Alligator mississippiensis: one gene and its partner. The protein of the gene in region 1 purifies or fractionates together with the protein of each later gene. This does not show direct contact. Links are inferred from orthologs where the notes say so. Each region holds a gene or a part of one and is shown in the gene's direction. Other genes may lie near its edges.

Region 1 (10,824 bases):
TTTGAGAAGGGGGTTGGACCAGAAGAGCTCCTGAGGTCTCTTCCAATCCTAATTTTCTATGATTCTATGATGCTATGTCACTTCATTTCTTTGTGCCTGTTTCCTCTTCAACCCTTTGCTTAAACTGTAGGCATTTGTCACTATGTGTTTGGACAGCAGGCTCCCACTGTAAACTGGACCACCTATATGGCAAGGTTCACAAGAGAAACTCAGGCACCCAGTCCAAAATTTAGATTTAATTAACAAAGCAGGTGATCCTCCACCTATGCAACTTGCAGGCTTTGATGCAGTTTACCTCACACACACATGCTTCATCCCCCCCGCTCCCCAACACATACAAAATGGAGCAAAGGGTGGTGGTTCCAATAGTGCAGTCTTGGAGCACTCACCTGGCAAGGCATCTGAGCTATGCCTTATAATGTCTAGCCTAAGCACCCCTTGTGCATCTAGTCTTAGGTGCTACAAAATGTAACTTGGCACTAGACAGCCATAAACTGATTTTAAAACATATTATACTTGGGCCTAAGATTTGCACCAATGGGAATTAGAAGCAATTACATCAGTGTAAAGACAAGTGCACTCGCATAGAACTGATGGGAGATTAGAATGAGGCCAATAACTTGCATAAATCTATGTTAAGTTAAATATCTGCCAAGCTGTACATGATCCCCATGTTAATCCCAGAAAACTACTATGACACCTAAATCAAATCTTAAATGTTGACCAAATGGCATTTAGAGAGGCAGTCATTCTTAACAGTGAAATCACTGTCACCAACAATGAGAGGCAGATAATCACCAGTTCTTCACATACTATTATCACTGTTATTCATATAGGAATAAGAGCTCTCCATTAAATCACTGCATGGATTACCAAGCAGAGAATTCCAATATGCAGGCTTGGGGGATATTGTATGAGTCTTCATTCCACCACTCCAAGCAAAGAAGGAAGAACTGGCCCCCTGCCTCTGCCTAACCCCATCCAAACTACAAGGGTTTCTACTGCTGAACTGATGCAGGTAAGAAAAAACACATGGTAATTTCTGCTGCAGGTATAGGGTTCTTCCCAGAGCAAGGAGAAACTAAGGGAGCCATTGTAATTCAGAGTGGTGCCTTTAAAGTACAGAACTTCCCAGAACTATTCCAGGTGTTATGCACCCAATGCTCAGAACTGTGCTTACATGCAGAATAGAACCCATACCAAGATGGGAGGGATAGCCAGCATGGGTTTGTCATGGGTAGGCCTTGCCTGACCAATGTCATCTCCTTCTATGACCAGGTGCCGTATCACTTGGACAAGGGAGAAGTGATTGATGTCATATACCTGGATTTTAAAAAAGCCTTTGATCTGGTGTCCCATGACCTCCTCATGGAAAAATTGGCCAACTGTGGCCCTGGCTACACCACAGTCCGATGGCTGGGAAATTGGCTCCGAGGTCGGACCCAGAGAGTAGTGGTCAATGGCAGTGAGTCACTATGGTGCTCCGTGACCAGTGACGTCCCCCAAGGCTTTTGTTAGAATGATTTCATCAGCAAAGTTAACATTAACATACAGTTCATTGCTGCTGCCAGCCCAGTAAAAGAAACTTACATCTGATTTGCTTATTCACATTTAGACCCTTTCTTTCCCTTTGTTTGATCCTTTTTTAATAGCTATTTGTAATATCTGGGATGTTATCTAATCCTATATGGTGCTGTTGCAAGTTGCCTGCCAGCCTTGCCACAAAAATTGGACTGCTTAACTAGACCCTGATGCAGGTAATGGCTGCAAATTATATCTAAGCTTTGCAAAAAAAACTAAGGTCGGCCCAATGGCTTGTCAGCATCCTACATCCGACTTGTGATTTCTATATAGTTACAGATACTGATCTGTTTACCTGTAGGAGTCAGCTTAAAGTTTTAGTCATAGAAGAAGAATATATCCAAAAGGTCTCTCAGGGAACATCTACACATGCACTTTAATGTGCAGTAGCCAATTTTACTGTGCATTAAAGCATCACATGAAAACCGTGATTATGCAAATACTTTCATTACTGAGCATTTAGGCAGCCTAATGCACATTTCTTTAGTACCTCACACTGGAGGTACTAAATTTAATATGCATTAGAAAAAGCACCTTAATGTACACATAGACAGGCCCTTAAAGTGCCAAAAAGGCAGCTTAAACCACTACCACAGGGGCTTAGCCATATGGAGTGACCAAATGGAGAGTGGAGCACACAGCAGGAGGAGAGGAACATGCTCCTCTCTACTCACAGACTATTTCTCTGGCTTTGTAGAAAACCTGTTCCTTATTTGTTCCACCACCACCAAGTCATAGAAATATTAATGAGCATTGTTAACCAGAGGACAGATTCACCAGCCAACCTAGTCAAAGCCTACTCTCTCAAGTTCAGCTCCATCTCCTTTCCTCAAAACAAATGATTAGTAAACAGAGAATAGAAGTACTTCAAAACAGCAACAAAAAGGCAAAGACTCACTCTTCCATAAACTGAGAAGAGAGACCATACCTCCCACTCTGGAGTATATTTACACCAGCTTCTACAAAAAATCTTTTCTTACTCCTTTCCGCACATTCCCCTAGGAAGCAGTCATATGACATTTGGTCAGCTGATTCTACCCCATCATGGGTTCTGTCTGGGGAATACAGCTGGTGGTTAGCTCTGAATGTCAAGCTGGTAAGATATGAAGTGACTTTAGACATTTTACTTCCAGGCCTCTGCAGTATAGGGAGTTCTACAATAAAAACCCCATGCTGGATCCTCAGACTTGTAGGGTAACCCCCTGTTGTCAGTCACCAGATTCATAGAGAACAACACTATCTACAAGGTAACTCTTTGCCTGCTTAAAGAATACAAGGCTCAGGGGTGTTGCTTGTCAGAATATAGCTTGGAACTGCCCCGTGCTTAAGCCAGGTACATAGTAATAATAAACCTGGATGAAGAGACCATCAAGGCAGTACAGATATAGCCAATGGGCATGGTTGCATCCTAAAATCCTTCCTGGTTGAGACTCACCTAGATCTTGTGTGTGTGTACAGATACTATCTGTGAATTCTTAGTGAAGGAAGATAATCTTCTTGAGAAGCATCTTAATATTATTGAAAAGGATTCTGGGACTTGATAATACAGATAAATGAAGCTGAAACCCTCCTCAATTCCAGAACATGTCCACATCTGCACATATGGCATGTCCACATCTATAATTTGTTAAACAGGCTTATCTACATAGAAAAAGAGCAGAAAGACTATAAGTATGTAAGTTCTGTTTCTTTAAAACCAGAGCTAAAAACCAGTAGTCAGGAATGCTGGGGCTGGAAATTCTTCGCAGGTTTCTTTTTTCAGAGAGGAGAAAAGCTACCTGTTAATTAACACCAAAATCATAGGGGCGTATACCTACACATTATTATGTAAACACTGAGGCATGAATGCCTATTTGTATTGAATTCTATTCCTGATCCTAAAAAGGTGCTGAGAAATTCTGGACTCTCTCTACTCCCAGGGTCTGGTGGTCTTTCCCATCATGATATGAGTTTTATGGTAATATGCAGTTCCCACATTTACCATAAAAGCCTCTTTTTACAAACTGATATTGCTGAAGCGGGTCGGGGGGAGAAGTAGAATTAGAGGGGGGGAAGGGCATTTAGTTTGAACTGTGTTATCTCTTCACAGTAAACACTCTGAATGCCTAACTTACCATACCACTAACAGTAAGCAGGAAAATAAGGACACGAATTGCCTCAGGCTCAACACCCAAAGGGCATATCAGAAGCTGCCAGTAAAGTATCAGCCTTGTTTAACATAAGACTATCCCTCTGTTAAATAAAATAGAGATGTTAATATGGAATAATGGAACAATTATGTGCAATGTGATAGTATGAAGTGCGTTGAATGTGAGTGACAACCTTTCCAATTGTAAATGGAGATCCTGTCTGGTGGAACTGTTACTTGTTAGTTAAATGTAATTATAGACTTGCATTCACAATGTCTAAGTGCAGGAACACCATGTATTTTATTTACAGGCGTTTTCATGGGGATTTATTACACTGGCTGTTTAAAACTAGGTCATCTTGAAATCTGGACTATTGTAAGCACAGTTGCAAATATGTATGTCTAAAATGGTAGACACTTATCAATCCAGTGAGTTTAAACAAATTTAAAAGGTCCTTGTTTTTCTTTTCTTCTGTATTCAAATTGCCTTTGTTCATTCCAACTAAAAACTAGCCCTTTTAAAATTAGGTTTTGCAGGTCCTAAGGGTATTAAAAGCTCGGCTTAGATCTAGGAATTACCAAAATTGACTACTGACCCCTTGCTAGGTGGCATTCTGCTACTAGAGGTGATGACTTTCAAATATGAAACAAATACCCTGACCTCCTGTGTTTTTAGATCCCATAACACATTTCATAAGAGAAGGGCTGATTAGATCCTACGTACTTAAAATTTACTCCCAAGATTTTAAATGGTGCAACATTTTTTCCTTTTCTGTTTTAAATTGCTGTGTTAGCAATGCTGTGTACTGTTAAAAGCTACTGCCCAGGGTTCATTGCATCTCAGTAGAGCCAGATGTATATCATTTGTGGAGCATATGGGATCCTTCAGGATGAAAAGTGCTAGAGAGCTATAAACTATTATAATTGACTAAACTGCCAGTGCCTGAATGGACTGACCTTGGAAAGGGCCATATGGAATAAGGGCAGTGACCCTGGGGAGACTGTCTCACTAGAGAAAGATTTACGCATTATGAAAGTGATGCTGACGATGTCCTAGGAGTTCCTCATCAAAATGTCCCACGGAGATGCCACAGTGAGGTTTTAAGTCTAGAATTGATTTGAAGATGGGGCAATTCCTGGAGGCTGGGATTCAGGGACTCAGCCATTTTGAATACTAGTTACCTAGGCCTAAGATAAGGGTACTCCTCTGCAGTTAGAGGGGCAGCACTCAGCCACCTTATCTGTCTCTCTTGCCCTAGAAAAAGACAGTCCACGAAGAGGGACATATGACCCTGATCTGGCTGCTTCGGGCCAGAGCTGCCAAGTGTGACAAGTTATACAGATCATTTAGTACCCACATTCAATTCCTCCTTCTTTTTAGATGTAATAGGATAGCTTTTGAAAACTGCATGTCATCAATCCAAAAATACCTGGGAGCGTTGGAAGCATCAATGGGCACAAGCCTGTAGATTTTGGGGGAAATCAAAAAACTGGAAAAGACCCATTCCCACGAAGACCAGGTTAACAGGGTGCCCACTCGGTGTTTCAGGCAAAGAAATCTCTGGGACACCTCGTGCAGCTGCTCCCTCACCACAGCTCTGCACAGGTCGCGGCACTCGGCAACACAAGAGCCACCCTGTGATCTTCCCCATCGTCGCAAATCAAGCGAAAAGGAAGCACTGCCGTTTCCCGGGGGCACCTCGCCTCTTCCCCAGGCTGCCTCGCATCCGCAAAACATGATGGAGAAGCACTGCTCGAGAAGATGAAGAACCTCTGCCCCAAGGGCCTCCAGCATGAGGGCAGCAGGCCTGCACTGCTGCCTCAGAGAAGGGGCAATGCCAAGCAGGGCTGAGAGGGTCCAGGCAGCTTTCCCTATCCCTCCAGCCTGAAACTACCCAGCACAACCGCTTCTCAGCAGCCCCTCTGCTTGTAGGGGCTGGAGCCCCGGGGTCTCGTGCGAAGCTCCAGCTGCTGGAGTCGCGGGACCAGCCCTCAGCGCACAGCTCCTCCCTCCCCCCGCCCCGAGAGCTAACGGAACGCGGGGCGGGGCTTCGGCGACGGGGCGGGGCTTCCCCGCGCCGCTCGGGGGCCGGGCCGGAAGTGCGTGGGCCGGTCTGGTGGCGTAGTTCCGGCGGGGGGAGGGGGTGACATGCAGAGCCGCGAGCAGCTGGAGCCACAGCCCCGGGAGCAGCGCGCGGTGGCCGGCGGGGGCCGGGCGCGGAGCGCGCCTAGCATGGAGGTGGAGAAGGAGTTCCGCCGCCTGGACCAGGCCGCCAGCTGGCTCGCCATCTACCAGGTGCGCCGCCGGGCTCAGCTCTCGGGCATCCCATCCCCGGCGGGCCCCTCCCCGCCCCGGTGGCCGCAGGGGGAGGCCGAGGCCTGGTGCCTGCCCGAGGCAGCTGGGTGCATTCGCGGCTGTGGCCATGCTAGCCTGTGGCGGCTTCCCCGGGCTGACCCCGCGGCGGGCTGGGCATCCCTTCTTGCCCGTGAGCGGTGGGGTTTGCTGCTTGGTGCTGGTGGGCGGGGGGGTTGCTGGCCGAGCTCCTCCTCAGCCTCCGTGTTCTCCCTTCTGAAGTGATGTCTTCTGAGTCCTTTTCTAATGGGTATCGACAGCCCCGCGAGATGCAGGGAGATCGAGGCGTGGAGCCGGGCTCTGCTGCCCGTTCACACGGGATGAGTTCTGCTCTGGGGTGTAGGCGGTAGCCGTGTTGGTCCAAGGCAGTGTCCAGGGTGCCACGGCACAAAAGCGTGCGGTCAGAAACGAACGGGCGTGCCGCGGTGGCAGCGAGCTCTACAGTAGGTGCGTGGATGGGGGATGCCTTAACAGGTGTGCCGCAGAAAAAAAAATTTTATTCATGTAAGTGCACCTTGGGCTGGGAAAAGTTGGGAAACGCTGGTCTAAGGGCATGGACTGACAAGGTTCTTTGGGTAAATCTGATCTCTTTTATTAGACCAACTCAAATAGTTGGAGAAATTCTTTGTGCAAGCTTTTGGGTGCACGTACTGAGGCTGAGGCAGCGTCTGCACTTGGTGTGTGCTTTGGCCCTGGGAGTTTTGGAAAGCCGAGTTGCACGCAAGCGGCACGGTCGGATTTCTGCTTCGGAGCTGCCGTACGCAACGAGCGGGGAAATCTGTAAACGACCATCTTGAGCTGCTTGAGGAAAGCAGTTTGCTTCACAAATGTAGAAACTTAATAATGACTGCATGTTTCTGGATTTCCTTTTCAGAAGGTGCGCTCCCGGTCTGAGTGTTCATTAGTTGCAGACTTGCTATCGGTTGAAAGTCACATGCGTCTGATGTTACGATTTTGCTAATCGGTTCTTGGTATGTTGCAGGCCCAGTGCTCAGGAAATGATTTTGAGTAATGTATTACTGTAAAAAAAGCTGTTGTAATGTGAAGGTTGTAAATCTTGCCAGCAGAGGCACAGAAATTCAGTCATGCCTAATGTTGCAGTCTTGACTTGCATCATCAAACTGAAGTTCTTGCAGCACGTAAATTGCATAAGATCTTTGCCTGTTGGAAGACCTCTGCTGCATTTTGGGGCAGTTACTTGGGTTGGGCAGTATGAGCAATCCTGTAAAAATAAAAAAATAAATCTTGTCCATAGATTTTTTTTGTTTTGTTTTGGGGTTTTTGGGGGGGAGGGGGGGTTCCTTGCATTTTTATTGCTGTCTTCTAGCTGGTAGCACAAACTCAGTGTGTGTTGGTAGTTCATCCCTGATTGCCAGTTACCAATTCATTTCACAGAGGCTAAATTATTTTCCAGTACAGGTGTTCTTTTAAAATGCTAATTGGCACCTTTGCTGCCAGTCTTGAGGAGCTGAAGGCTTGTTTCTTGTGGAATTGAATTAGTCAGGCTTTGCCAAGTGATTCCTTCAGGTCAGATTAGGGACATGTTGTCTGGGATGGGAATGCTCATAATACCACTGATGTCTGAGTATCTGTGGGAAGGATACAGGTGACTGCTGTCACTTCTCACCAAAGATCCAGCAGTGCATTGAGTTCTTCAGCATCTGTCTCTTCTAGTTGAGGGATGCTACAGAGATCCTGTAGTTGTTTGGCCTTTGGTCTTCCTGGCTGGGTGAAGGCTAGATGTCCATGCTCTGGCTCAGTCATTGCTCTCAATACCGTTGCCGTGAAGTAGAGATGATGTGATTGCAAACCTTAATGCACTTGAAGGTGAGTTTTGGGGAGGTCACTTTCATTCCCTTCTGGAAGATCTTAGAGTACAGTACAGGTTTCCCTCACTTTATGCAGGTTCTGTATGTGTGAATTCACTCTTAAGTGATGACTCTTCTTGTACCAAAAGTTTGTTATATGCACTGTGAACTCACTCTTAATCTCAGTGTGGTGGAGGCCCGCAGTCAGCTGCTTTGTGCGGTGCATTGTGGGAGTGATGTGCACCAAAATATAGTCTGTGTGGGTATGTGCTTCTCACTCGTTGTCTGCAACACGTATTTCTGTAGCTGTCATCCCTGTGCTTGTGTATACTGTTTGCTGTTGGTGAGTACTAAAATGGTCTTGTAAAAATGGTAGAAATGGATCTGGGGGTCAGTATAGTGGAGGACTTGGAAGGTATCCCTATTTGTTACATTGTAAAGTGGGTTCTCTTTATGCAAATTAGAGTTATGCACTGTTTTCTGGGAACACTTGCAGCATAAAGCAAGGGAAACCTGTATTTGGCAATTGCTGAGTGCTCGCCTGTAGGAGTGTCTTGTCACCTCCACTTCTAATGTATGTAAGAGGATGTTTTTTGGACAGTTGGTGGAGAATGATGGGCTGCAGTCTGTGGGCAATATCCAGATTTGTTTTCATCCCATCTCCTTGGGACAACATGTCTTGATGGATTGCTCAAAATGTAGCATAGATTCCAGTTTGGGTGAGAACTAGGCTGCAAAGAGCTGAGGTAAGGCTTCTGAGTTGGGGATTCAACCGGAAGAATGCAAGGAGATTTGTTTCAAGCCCTTTTGATTAAGGAATATATTTGCCTTTATCAAGGAATCTTTGAGGGGGTTTTTGTTAAGTCTAATGTAGGATTCCTACTTACTTCTAGATGGTGGCTATCAGTACCTGGACATGTTTTCCAATTTCAGTTGACTAGCACCTTATACTCCCCCCGCTCTCCTTTCAGATGGGGACCTGACTTTCTTGACTTCAATGTTAGAAATGCATCTTTTTTGCATGTAGTATTCTTCATGCCAGGACTGATGCACTATAGCAGTATGTGATTAGATGTGTAGTTGTGCTGATCAGGAGGGACAGCTTTGCATTTCCACTCATGGTTTTCACTTGACCTAGCAGATCTTTAGCCTTAGAATCTAGGAAATTGTGACACAAATGCTGGAGAGGTAATACTCAATGGCCAAGAGTAGGATGTAGATCTTATTACTTCATGTCCTGAATAAAGCACCACAGCAATCTAACTAAATGAATCGCTTATTTTCTTAGCCAGATATATGATACTGGACTGCATTAACCATAGGGTAGGGACTGTGAATGTTACTGGTAGCTGGGAAGTGACTACAAGAAGATTTGTGGCCTTTGAGACTGTTTGACTGTGGTGTGACTTGGGCAGCAGTAATGTGTGTGTGTGTGTGTGTGTGTAGGATAGGGAGGTATGTGGGGCTTTTTTTTGGGAGGGGGGCGGTTTGAGAAGGGGAAGTTAGGGAATTATATCTTGCTAGGAATACAAAACTGCAGTGGAGGAGACTTTGAGGAAAGAAGTATAGCATAAAGACCAGCCACAAAAGGGAGACTCATTCTTTCCAAAATGAAGTGCATCATGTGTCCCCCTAGATATTTTGTCTGTCTTGCAGCCTGTAAGGAAGGGCACTGAACTGCGTATTTGCCATTATAGCTGGTCAAAAATGAGATAAATGTTAGTGAAGCACTTGACAAGCCTGACTTCCAAATAAACCCCCTAAAACCAAGTTTATTTTCCATAAAAACGGGGGCATGAAATGTTGAGAAGAATGCCAATAAGAACCCCCATCTGGTTCTCTATACTGCCTATGGCAGTATAGAAAACAGTGCAGAATAAAGTGAATTTTAAACCAGATGTATTTATTTCTATTTTTACTTATTTATTTTTGAGTGCGTCTTGCACAATGCATTCATACTAGAGTCCTCTTTTAAAATGTTCCATTTCCCTAGCAAATTGAAACTAGGGGCAAGGTTAGGCATCATATTTAAACATGAGCTTTGCAATATGATCCTGTTTCAAAACTATGCAATTTGGAAAATAAGTGGCTTAGGGGTGGGTGCGTGACACGTTCAGTACGTAAATATCTTTAAAAATATCAATAGGAATGGAAGGAATTCGCTGTGTGAAGATGTTGCGACAAAGAGCAGTTGCCTGAAGCCAAGAAAAACAAAGTTTTAGGCTTGCTGTTAGGGAGGGAAGAGGAGGTAGAAAGGGGAGTCTTGGCCCTAGCGACAAATGGATAGTGAATCATCAAAGTTGTCCAAGAATAGGAAAGACAAAACTTTCAATAGGAGTGCTGTAAGAGGAGTAGCTCTTCAAAATGCATGTGATTATACGTATATTGTGAAAGGCTTTACTTGCTAAATTTAGCAGGTGTGTCTAAAAGAATACTTGGATGTAGGCAGATTTATTATATAAGAAAGTTATAATTACAGTGTAGAAAAAAAGGAATGTGGCTAATCATCCTCTAACTGTCATTTAACACTAAAACAAAGCAAGTCTTGTATTATACTTGACAAAGTGATATACTGCTCTCTTGGATTAGTGTTGTTTTTGATAGAAATTTCTTTAGGGAAAGCTGGAACATGGATTTATACAAAATGAGGAGAAGTTCATAATAGAAAGCACTACAGATTTAATCATTTAAAAATGAGAACTTCTAATTGAAAAATAGTTCATGTAAGTACAGCACTTATACCTATGTGATTCTGTTTCTCAGTCATGGTTTTCTAGCGACTGCTAGCTAAAAAGAAATTGATACTAGTGTGGCCTTTCAAATATGGGTCTGGAAATGCTTGTACTGGAAACAGAATTACATTGCTACTCTCTGGTTGTGGAAAGATCTAACAAACAATATACTGTTCTAAAAGGTGAGAGAATGGCTGCTGGGGAGTGCGTGTCAGCTGAACT
Region 2 (10,673 bases), on another chromosome or scaffold:
GAACTGACAGTAGAAACTAGTAGTCATTCCTCATTTCAGGTAAGAGAACAGTGATATAAAACTACCTGTGTATATAAAGACTCCTGAAATGCTGTAAAATCACTGGAAAGACTCCTGAATTGCTGGAAAATTATGAAATTGTTTCAAGGCAAGGCTTGTGTAAAACAAGGGGGCATGTAATCTTATGATCGTGAACTGCACATAAAGCATGTTAGATAAGATAGAGATTGTGGTATTGGATAATCTAGAGTTAAGCTTCTTATGCATATAACTTGAATTAATGATGATACCATTAGAAAATTAATTATGATACCACCTTAGAAAATCAGGACAAGTCACTTAGAATAAACACCCAAAAATGCAGTGTTTGCATCTAGGAAAAAAAGGACAATAGATGAAATACTGAAGTGGTAGTAGGCATAGAAAAAGTAGATTTTTATGCATACATAAAATACTTGATCAAGACTCAGTTTCATCAAGGATCTGTCTGAGTGACAAGACTACACAGAATTTACTATAATTATAGACTGACAGAAACATTCTGTTTGGTATCAAAGTGCAAATGCATCAGATTAATATACTGACAAAATTACTTTGTGGACTGGAAGCAAGTGCATTTAGGGAAACAGACACCACTAAAGGAAATGGAGGCCATGGACACAATCTCTGTCCCAACTGGCCCTGCCACTGCTGCTCCCGAGGGCACAGGCCCTAGTAGTTATGCCTCAGAAGACCATAATAGTTGGGTTATTGCAGAAGACAAACAGATGACAGAATGCCAAAGAAAATCATGCAAACACAGCCATGGTCAGTCTGCCCTAGAGGCTGGCAGCCAACTAGACGGTTAGATACTGGGGCACAGGGGACCATGGCCAAGCTGGACTTACTGGATAAACAAGCCTGGAAAGGAATGAAAGGTGACACTACACTCTGTATGTCTGCAAAGATGACCTGAGATGAAAAGCAGCAGCAGTTTACTTGTAAAGCTTCAGTGAACCCTTGGAATCAGAACAGCACTCCTTTTTTCACAATTTAAATGATGCAAATTATTTGACTTAAAATGATGGAACTGCCCTTATTTATGTTCCTACAAAATGTATCTGTTGCTATGAGGTCTAAGTATAAATGTGTAAGTAATGCATGTGGTCTACTCAGCAAAAGAGAATAAAACCTTGATGCGCATGAATTTACTAACAATATTTTGCATATCTGTCGCATTTTTCTTCTGAGGATCTTAGAGCAAGCATTTTTTGTGATATCTTTTATTGGACCACCTCTACAGTTGGGAGAGCTGGTGGACAAGCTTTTGGGCATCAAGGGCTGTTCTTCAGCTCTCCCAACTACTGTATACACTTGGTCCAATAAAAAATATCACAAAAAATCCTTGCTTCTCCAGCATTTTCATTCTAATATAATAAAAAACCTTAGTGTGTCTGTCTGTCTGTCTGTCTGTCCATTATGCTTTATTCATGCTCTGACTGGTTGTCTCGGCAGCCAATCACAATGCTGACTAAAACAACCGATCAGAGTGCTCTGCACAGACAGACACACACGGCACAGCGTCACCATGCTGGCAGAAACTGAGGGGCCGAAGTAGGGGGGTGAGGCCAGTAGTGCTGGTCTGCCCCCTGGCCCTGCTCCTTGGAGGCGGCGGCAGCGCAGGGTGCTGGCAGTGCAGCACTGGCCTCGGCTCTCTGCTCCAGCCTTGCCGCCACATCCAAGGGGCGGCCACGCCCCACTCCAGCAGACAAACAGGAGCAGAGGATGGGGGACACAGGGGGTGGGGGGGGCCACAGGGCCGGAGGCAGAGTGGCTGCAGCGCTCCATCCCTGCCTGCTCCCTCCCCATCATTCATGAGAGGCAATTTGCTAGTTATGGCTATAACAACACTCCAACTCTATTTATTCCTCAAAGCACGTCTGTGATCTTAATTTAACATATGTAAACACTGAATCATTGTGAGTTTTCTGACTTACCTAAAGTCACATATAAAGTTGGGGTGGGGGGAAAGGACATGAATCTAATACTCAGAATCCAATACTCTAGAAATAATCTAAAAAATGTATGCCCTCTCTCTCTGTCAACTTTAATTTTATATAATAACGATGCTCTGAAACTCTAGGGACTGGGTCATCTTAAATTTCCCAAGAGAGTGTATGGTGCCTGATAATGCAAGAGAAGCAAAAGGCAGATGCACTATATCATTCATACTGAAGAATGACAGAGAAGCCTAGAAAACTGGGGGAATGGAAACAATGGAAGCACTCTTGGGCATGTGATTGCTTTTACCTCTTCCTAGTACTTTCTTTTGCATCCAGTGCAAATTCCTATAGTATGCCAGCTGGGGAAGGGAATTGAGTAGATTTTTCTAAAAGTAAAGGGCAAGTGTGTGTATGCTGCAACTAGAATAGAGCAACTGGTTCATCTACTCAGGGCAAATTCTGTAGTGAGGCTTTCCAGGGTTATCTGTCTGAGGGTTAGTCTACATGCTGACTTGCAAAGGTGTGAACTGAAAGCCATGCAGCTATTTCAAAGTAAGTCTGCATATGAACACTCCCCCTCTCTCCCCAAGAAAAGTTGATAAGCCAATTCTAGCAGAAGCATATTCAAGAAGGGGCCAAGGGAGAATGCAGTCACCTAATTTGGCAGTGCCATGGCCTGTGCAATGAGTTCTGAGCTCACTGCCTGGTCAGTATGAGTGCCTACTGGAGCCCCATATAACCAGTGAGGACAGGGTCTGGCCAGAGTCACCATTTTTGTAGGGCTCTGGAGCCTGGGGGACTGCTACTGCTGTTAGCCTTTCCTTTCTCTTACCCTCCCCTCTGATTTCAGCAGCAGGGTAGAGAGGTGGGCAGTAGCACTTACACTCTGGGCCCTGAAGCCACATGAAAGCAGGAGGTCTCGGCACACTCCACACTGAGAGTTCATGTATAACAGCTGGAAGTGAATGCAATTACACCACCACATCCTCACTGGATCCTAGCAAGGGCCTGTTCTACACTACTGTAACTATTTTGGTGAGAGGATGCAATTTCCTTTCCCACTTTGAAATAATTATACCAGTGAAAGTTCTACTGTGGTCTAAGTTATATAGGTACACTGAAAGCATTGCCAGCTTAAAAATGTTGGCAAGGAATTTGAGTTTGGCGATATTTCACAACCAGTAAATAGCTGTAGTGCAGTAACTGCTTTTGCTGGTATCACTTTTTTTGGTTTTCAGATTGACATAACCTCCACCAGCAAAACACTTTTTGATAGCATAACTGCATCTATACTAAGAGTATTTGCTAGTATAGTGATACAAGCAAAACTTTTCTCATGTAGACCTGATACACTGGTAGAGTTTTTCTCTTTTCTATAAGAAAGTAGTTATAGAGTTATAAAGCACATCTACACTGCTGCAACTGTGTCCACACAAACCATTTCTTCAACTAACTAGTTAGCTGATACTCTGATGGTATCCGCTTCGGGTATGTCATAGAATTATAGGGTTGGAAGGGACCTCAAGGGTTAATCTGTCTGGACCCCTGTACAAATGCCAGAATGCTACTCCGAGGCTATTCCTGATCAGTGCTTGTATCCCCGTTGTCCAGTACCCCTGTGCAGTCTATTGCACTGCCTTAGTATTCTAACAATGAGGAAATTTTTCCTGATATCTAATCTGAATCTACTTTGCTGCAATTTAAAGCTATTGATTTGTGTCCTGTCCTCTGGGGCAAGGGTGAACAGTCATTTTCACTTTTTTATGGCAGCCTTTCAAATATTTGAAGATTGCTATCAAGTCCCCACTTAATCTCCTTTTCTCTAAGCTTTCCCCATATGGCCTGCCTCCTAACCCCTTTATCATTTTTGTCACCTGCCTCTGAAACCCTAACTTCTCCATATTCTTCTTAAAATGTGGACTGAACACAGTATTCTGATATAACCAATACCAGGTAGAGTGGTACTCCTACCTCTCATGTCTTACACTTAATACTCCTGTTGATATGGTACAAAATTTTGTAATTGTGCCACGTTGATGACTCGAGTCTGTGATCCATCAAAACTTCTGTATCAGTGATTCGTAGCCAGAGTGCCACACGATATTAGCATGGTTGGATATGCACGCAGGAGTCACAAGGTAAACTCAGGTTCCAAATACGAATCCACAGTGTCAAAACCATTCAGGCCTGTTGTGGTCTTTCTGGCTTCTTTGCAACAAACAAATTGCTCTGTTTTTTTATTTGTAGTAAAAAAAACAAGTGAAAACTAAGAGCTGGCATTCTCCAAGGGGCACCTCAAGTCTTAAAAAGGCTGAAAATCATTGCCCTAGATTCTTCCTAGCAAGACTGGGAAGGCTGCCACCCACCTAGTTATCTCCCATTGTTTATTTAATCATTCTTCCCCAGCTGCAGCATCTTACGTCTGTCTGCACTGAACTTCCTTCTGTTGTCTCCAGCCCAAGCTATCAAGAGCCGTCTGAACGCTACTCCTATCCTCCACTGTGTTCCCAGTCCTTCCCAGTGCGGTGTCATCTGCCAGCTTGATCAGGAAGCTCTTTGCTCGGGCATCGCTCGCTAGCAGAGGACCCCGGACCGCTGTGGGACACCTCCCGGTCCGACCCTTGCCCATTCGGCCTTGCCCTTCGCTGGCGGGTACAGGACCAGTCACCTCTCCACCTCAGCGTCATGTTATCGGGTCTGCGTTTCTCCAGGTCACCTGTGAGCACGTCATGTGGGACTGGATGAAAAGTCCCCTCCTCCTCACAAGTCAGAGCATCACTTAACAAACTTGCAGCAAAATGCTGAAAAAGCTTTTAATCCCCACCTTGTACCAGGGCGCTGCAGGCCTGTGAGCAGGACCAGCCCTCGGGTGAGGGACAACCTTCACCTTGGTGACAGGTGACAGCTCTCCCCGAGGCGCCGTCTGTTGTCCGAGGCTTCCCGCCGCCCGGCCCGGCCCGGCCCGGCCCTCCCCTGGCCCCGGGCCCGGGGGCGGGCGCTGCTGTCGCAATCGCCGGGCGGCTCCCGGCATCCCCCGCGCGCCGCCCGCCTCGGCTCGGCTCGGCTCGGCTCGGCGAGCCGGCTGTGCGGCGCTCCAGCATGGCGGCCTACAGCAAGTACCTGACCGTGCGCTACTCCACCATGGCCGGCGCTACCGCGGCCGCCTGCGCCCTGCTCTGCCTCCTCAACAAGCGGCGCCAGGAGGCTGCGCAGCACGGGTGAGCGCTCGCGCGGGGCGGGCAGCGCCTGGACCCCGGCCCCATCCCGGGCCCTGCCCTGCCCCCGGCGCTGCCCGCAGTGCCCCAGGGGGAAGTGCTGCAGGCGCGGCAGTGCTGGGCAGCGCGGCCCTCGCCCCTGCGGGCCGGGGGGTGGTCTTAAACCCCCGGGACACATCGGGGAGGATGGAGCTCGGCCTCTTCCCACCTCCCGCCCCCCCCCCCCCGTTTTTGCTGCCCAAACGATAAGCTAAGAAAAGCAGTGAGCAGGAACAACGAGCAGGAACAGGTCCCCGGGGCTGAACAGCACCTCAAGATGTGGGCGCTGGTTTGCGTGAAAGCAGTCAGGACAAGAGCCTGCGTGTACCCATTGTGTGGCTTTTGGGGCGCTTGGCTGAATTGAAGAAAATAACAGCCAGGCAGTTTAATCTCAACAGTACATTTTTTAATTGGAGGTTACTCGCTCTAGACGGGGGGTTGCTCAGCCTGTGGGCCAGACCCAGCTCCCAGAGCCTCTTTTTTTGGCCTGTGGGGCTGCCCACAAGTTTGAAAATTTGGTGATGGGGAAAGTTTGCTGCTCCCCTGCTGCCAAATTTCCAGGCCTGTGCAGCACTTCCGTGGGCCAGATAGCATGGCCCTGTATGCTAGAAGATCGGGCACTCAGGCACCAATCCCCGGTGCGTGCGGCCAGTGAAGGGCATGACACAGATGAGCAGTGGTCTTTTTTGGTCCTGTGGGCCCCTGGACAGTCCCAGGAGCTGCTCTTAAATGTTGAGTAGAATGGCATATGTGGTTGGGTGAGGAAAGGAGAGAGTTCTTGCTTTAAAAGGCAGTTTTTAGATCATTCAAAAGCAATTTTGAATCAAAATAATCTGACCCTCATCTAGCCCTTTCTCCATGTCCAGTTTTTTCTTGCATCGTGGCTACTGTAATCTCATTTTTTGGATCCTTGCCTTCCTCAAATCCATTTTACACGCTGCTTCTGCCAAAGCAGTCTTCATTGCTTGTCAGTTTGTCACCTTCCTTCATTGGTGGCTGTTTCTTCCCTGCAGCATTTTATCAGCCGCTGGCTATGAAACTTAGAGTACCCTACCTGTTAAAAGCCTGGCAGATGGTGAACAACAGTTCTTGCATCACTAGCCTACGTACATATCCTCTTATTAGTGTTGCCTCATCCTCCCTCCACCCCATCAGCCTATGTTATACTAATTTGCTGAATCATATCGTTAATGTAGCTATACTTGGAGCAGGGGTAGTCCTTTTATCAAGTTTTTTCTTTTTTTTATTCTGTTCAGTTGGGGCTTGCTTGTCATAATGAAATACACATGGGTTTACCATGTTAATAGTGATACAAATCATCCAAAGCCCTGTGTACCATCTAAATCTTGTGGTGCTCTTCTGCAGGATGTGGGTTCTGGGGAGTAGAGCAAGCAGATGGGCTAGATCAGGGGTTGTCAACCCACAAAGCTCATGGACTGGGAACTCACTGGCATTCAGTGGAGCAGGGACTCTGCCTGTGCTACACTGCAGCTAAGTGGCAAAAAAGTGGCCGGGGGAGAAGTTGTGGTAGCAGCAGGATCCTAGCTTTGGATCCGAGCTGGGTGATTCTAGCCTGCTGCCAGAAAATGTTGCTGAGCCTTGGGCTAGAGAATTTCTTATCACAGCTTGTCAGGAAGAAAGCTCTTTGCAGGTTGTGAACAGGTCTTATCTAGAAGGGGCAGTGGGTCACAGTGTATAGAATCTGAGTAAGGAGCAATGGCTACCCTTCACCTTGTAGTCTGGCCTGTTTCCTTCTCCTAATTACTTGATTGCTTGATTACATTGTCTCTCTGCAGGTAAAAGTGAATTTTACCCTTTGAAAAGGTCTGGTTTCAACATTCTGTTTGGGGAACAACATGAAGTGTGAGGACAGGCTCATACTGGGGTCGATTCAGTGGGATAGTTATACCAGTTACTGTACCAGCAAAACACTTTTATTGTGGGTGTGACTTATACCAATAAATCTGCCCTTTTCTTGGCACTTTTTTCATACCCTACCCTGCTCTTTCCAGTGTATTAAAATAAAATGTACAATAGAAACGCATCAATGCTGTCCATTTTTGCCAACACAGCTTTGGTCACAAACCCCACTTCCTCACTTCCCTGACCAGAGATTGTATCATATATCTGGCCTAGGCCGTGTTTTAGGAATAGTATGATATGAAGCTTGAAGAAATATTAAAGAATTATTTGAAGCATTATTGGAACATAATTTCATAGTGCCCACTCTAACTTTATTATATACTATATTTACTCAAATCCAAGATGAAGATTTTTCCCCATTTAATGTGGGGAGATGGGTCTTGTATTGTATTTGAGGGCCATGGTTGGAGCTGCTGCCTTGCTGGGGCCAGAGTGGGTTTCATAGATTTCATAGACATTAAGGCTGGAAGGGACTTCATGAGATCATTGAGTCCAGCCCCCTGCGCAAAGGGCAGGAAGTCATTTGGGGTCAGATGCTTGCACCGCTTCTGGAGGGAGTCTGTTTCAGACTCTGGAGACTCAGACGTAAAGTATTTTAGATTGGGCATAAGCAAAAACTTGTCTTCCAGCAATTTGTGACCATTGGACCTCGTCTTTCCTTGGTGCCCAGGTGGACAGATATTCTCCCAGATCCAGATGCACACCCCTGATATACTTATATCAGGTTGAGGTGGCTTGTGCAGTGGGGGGGCATGGGGAAGACCACACAGTGGTGGGGAGTGCAGGGAGGAAAGATGCTGGGGAGTCTGCTCAGAGTTGGAGGGGGGCAGTTTAGGAGACAGCACAGTGCAAGATGGGGGGAGCTGGGGAGACTGTGTGGTGTGGTATGGGGTTAGGGGATGCAAAGGAGACCATGGGCAGGAGTGCAGGAGGAGACTAGAGGAATGGAGGGGACCACATAGGGAAGATGTCAGGGGGTGACTATGGGGAAGAATGTGGTATGTGGCACAGGGGAGCTGCAGTGGCTCTGGTCCTGACCTGGCCAGGGCTGGAGCTGCTGCTGCCAGTGCCACTGCTATCTGGGCAGGGCCTGGGGACAGCTGAAGCTACTGCAGGGTAAGTGAAAGCAAGGGGAGCAAGTGGCAGGGGGAGCAGGCACCAGGTAGGTAATTGCTAAATTTGAATTTAAAATGAATTTTAAATGACTCTTCAACAATTAGAATCTATACATGGAAAATTATAACAAACATAATTTTCCCATGCATAGAAACTAATTATTGGAGGTTGTCTTAAATTCAAAGTTGTCTTGGATTCCGGTACTAGGCAGTTGCAGGAATGTTGTTTGTTTTGTCAACTCTCACCCACATTTCTTATGTATTTGGGCTTAAGGGCAAGGCACAGTGTGACTCAGTGGCAATGTAAGAGTAATTAAGTTAGTGTAATAATATATACATTTTCTTAGTAGGGCAAAGATCAGTTTTATGTAATTCCAGTTGAGTTGGTTTAATCATTTCATGTGTCTGAAAACCTGATGACTGATGATATAAAACTTAAGCATTTTGTCATTTATGGGCACTTGAGTTATACAATATATTTTTTAGTCTGCCAGCTAAAAATAGTTGCTTTCCTTTATGTAAATGACTTTAAAATATGTGTCAACATTTAAAAGCAAAGAGTTCCATTCTTCTGTGGCACCCAGTAATGAAAGACTTAAAAACTTGAAATTAAAACGTACCCAAGGATTTCTCTCATATCAGATAAAATTAAGAAGTAAGGTTGATATCTCTAAAATTTTCTCATAGAGCAAAGTAGGAGAATACATGTTTTAGAATAGGTTTTGGTTTTTGTTTTAAGAAATAAACATAAATTAATAACTATACAAATAATACAGTCCTGATGTGGAAGAAGTAGAACTGATGCATCTACTTCTGTAGTTCAGTTGAGTACATATTCATGTTATATTTAAGCAGGATCTTTTGTTACGCTATAACTAGGGACCTACCAAAATTCCAATTGTGCTATTTTCGCGGAAACTGTAATTTTGGGTGGGCTCTGCGAAAAAAGCACAGATGCTGCGCTTTTGTGGACTTGCAAAAAAAATAAATAAATAAATAACCCCCCCACCCCAACCTACCAGCAAGCAGAGAAAAGTGTATGGGAAACTCTGCAGTCTTGGGGTTTGGGGAGAGGGGAAGGCAGAGGGGGGAGGTCTGGGGGAGGGGGTGGGAGAGGTGGAGGGGCTGAAGCAGTCCTGCCTGCCCCCCCCTTTCCCTCCCCCCTGCCCTCCGCCTCTACCTCCCCCCACCCAAGACTGCAGGGCTTCCAACATGCTTTTCTCTGCTTGCTGGTAAGTTTACTTTATTTTTTTTGCAGTAACCCCACCAGAAATGGGGAGCCCGTTCCTTGGGGATGGCTTGAAACCACAGCTTAATTACCCTGATTAAGCCCAGGAAGTCATTAATTGATGCTTAATAACATGTGGATTAATGGCTTCCCTAGGCTTAGTGGGGTAATTAAGCCACTGGTTCAGAGCATGTAGCAGTCTGCAGGGAGGGGTGGGACTTCTGGGGCCTCTCAGCCAACCAGAGGTGTGGGGGGCCCCGCAGCACTCAGCCCACAAAAATGGTGGCCGGCTCAAGGATCTGCCTGCAAAATTGGCTGGCCACCTCCTTGAGTTTGGTAGACTCCTAGGTATAACTATTATCTGATTTCATGCAGACACATCATGGATGAAATTCTGATTCAAATGACGATGAGAGCAAAACGTTCCCATATCGCAGTTAGCTTGCCTAGAGGACTGCAGCTTTTTATGGCTACCAGCTACTCTTAACTCAAGTGGCAAAGGTCCCTAACCCTGCAGATGACACAGTGAGAGGCCATTGTGGATTTTTTTTCACACTTTTTCATTATCGGATGCATTTTTCTAACCGAAGACTAGGTAGATGTTTCTTAATGACAGCTTACATGATATCATTTGTTTGCTCACCTAAGTCATTTAGATAGTAAAACAAAAAAGGTTTGGTAATACAAACATGCAAAATTAAGAATTAAAAGTTACATGTGCAGTTATATGTAATTATAATAGTAAAGACTGTATAATGAATGTATGTAGGTGTGGTTCATTTAGGGCAACCTGAATGCATATATTTTCTGGCTTGCAAAGTCAAGCAGTCAAAAACTTAATTTCTTTTGACATAGGTGCTATATCAAAGACCTAATTTCTTTGCTTCCAAATTTTATGCAAGAATTACAGTGCTTGTAAGCTACATAAGTGATATGCTTAGGCATGTAGCTTTTGAGAAGTGCACAGTAGATTTATGGGTTCTGCATAATAAATAGAAGAATAATCTCTCTATTTTCATTACTGTGTCCTCAAATCACTGTAAAAGCATCGTTACAGAAGAGTATGAATTGAAACACTGTTGTTGCAGTAGGACTGACCCAGCTTTTCCATGAGAGAAGATCTTCAAAGTGATCAGATGATTTGCTTGAAACAAGCAAATATTTGCTACAG

What was found.
Region 2: the proteins of PTPN1 (region 1) and ABCD3 purify together in Homo sapiens (affinity purification with mass spectrometry; 3 studies listed by BioGRID and IntAct, with this or other methods). This does not show direct contact. The link is inferred for Alligator mississippiensis from reciprocal best matches to the Homo sapiens genes PTPN1 and ABCD3.

The regions. Positions count from the first base shown.
Region 1 is NC_081832.1:12,949,608-12,960,431, reverse strand, and holds the start of PTPN1 (tyrosine-protein phosphatase non-receptor type 1), read left to right. Parts: upstream 1-5,842; 5' UTR 5,843-5,858; coding exon 5,859-6,005; intron 6,006-10,824. UniProt on the Homo sapiens protein: Tyrosine-protein phosphatase which acts as a regulator of endoplasmic reticulum unfolded protein response. Mediates dephosphorylation of EIF2AK3/PERK; inactivating the protein kinase activity of EIF2AK3/PERK.
Region 2 is NC_081828.1:34,236,590-34,247,262, forward strand, and holds the start of ABCD3 (ATP-binding cassette sub-family D member 3), read left to right. Parts: upstream 1-5,027; 5' UTR 5,028-5,081; coding exon 5,082-5,200; intron 5,201-10,673. UniProt on the Homo sapiens protein: Broad substrate specificity ATP-dependent transporter of the ATP-binding cassette (ABC) family that catalyzes the transport of long-chain fatty acids (LCFA)-CoA, dicarboxylic acids-CoA, long-branched-chain fatty acids-CoA and bile acids from the cytosol to the peroxisome lumen for beta-oxydation.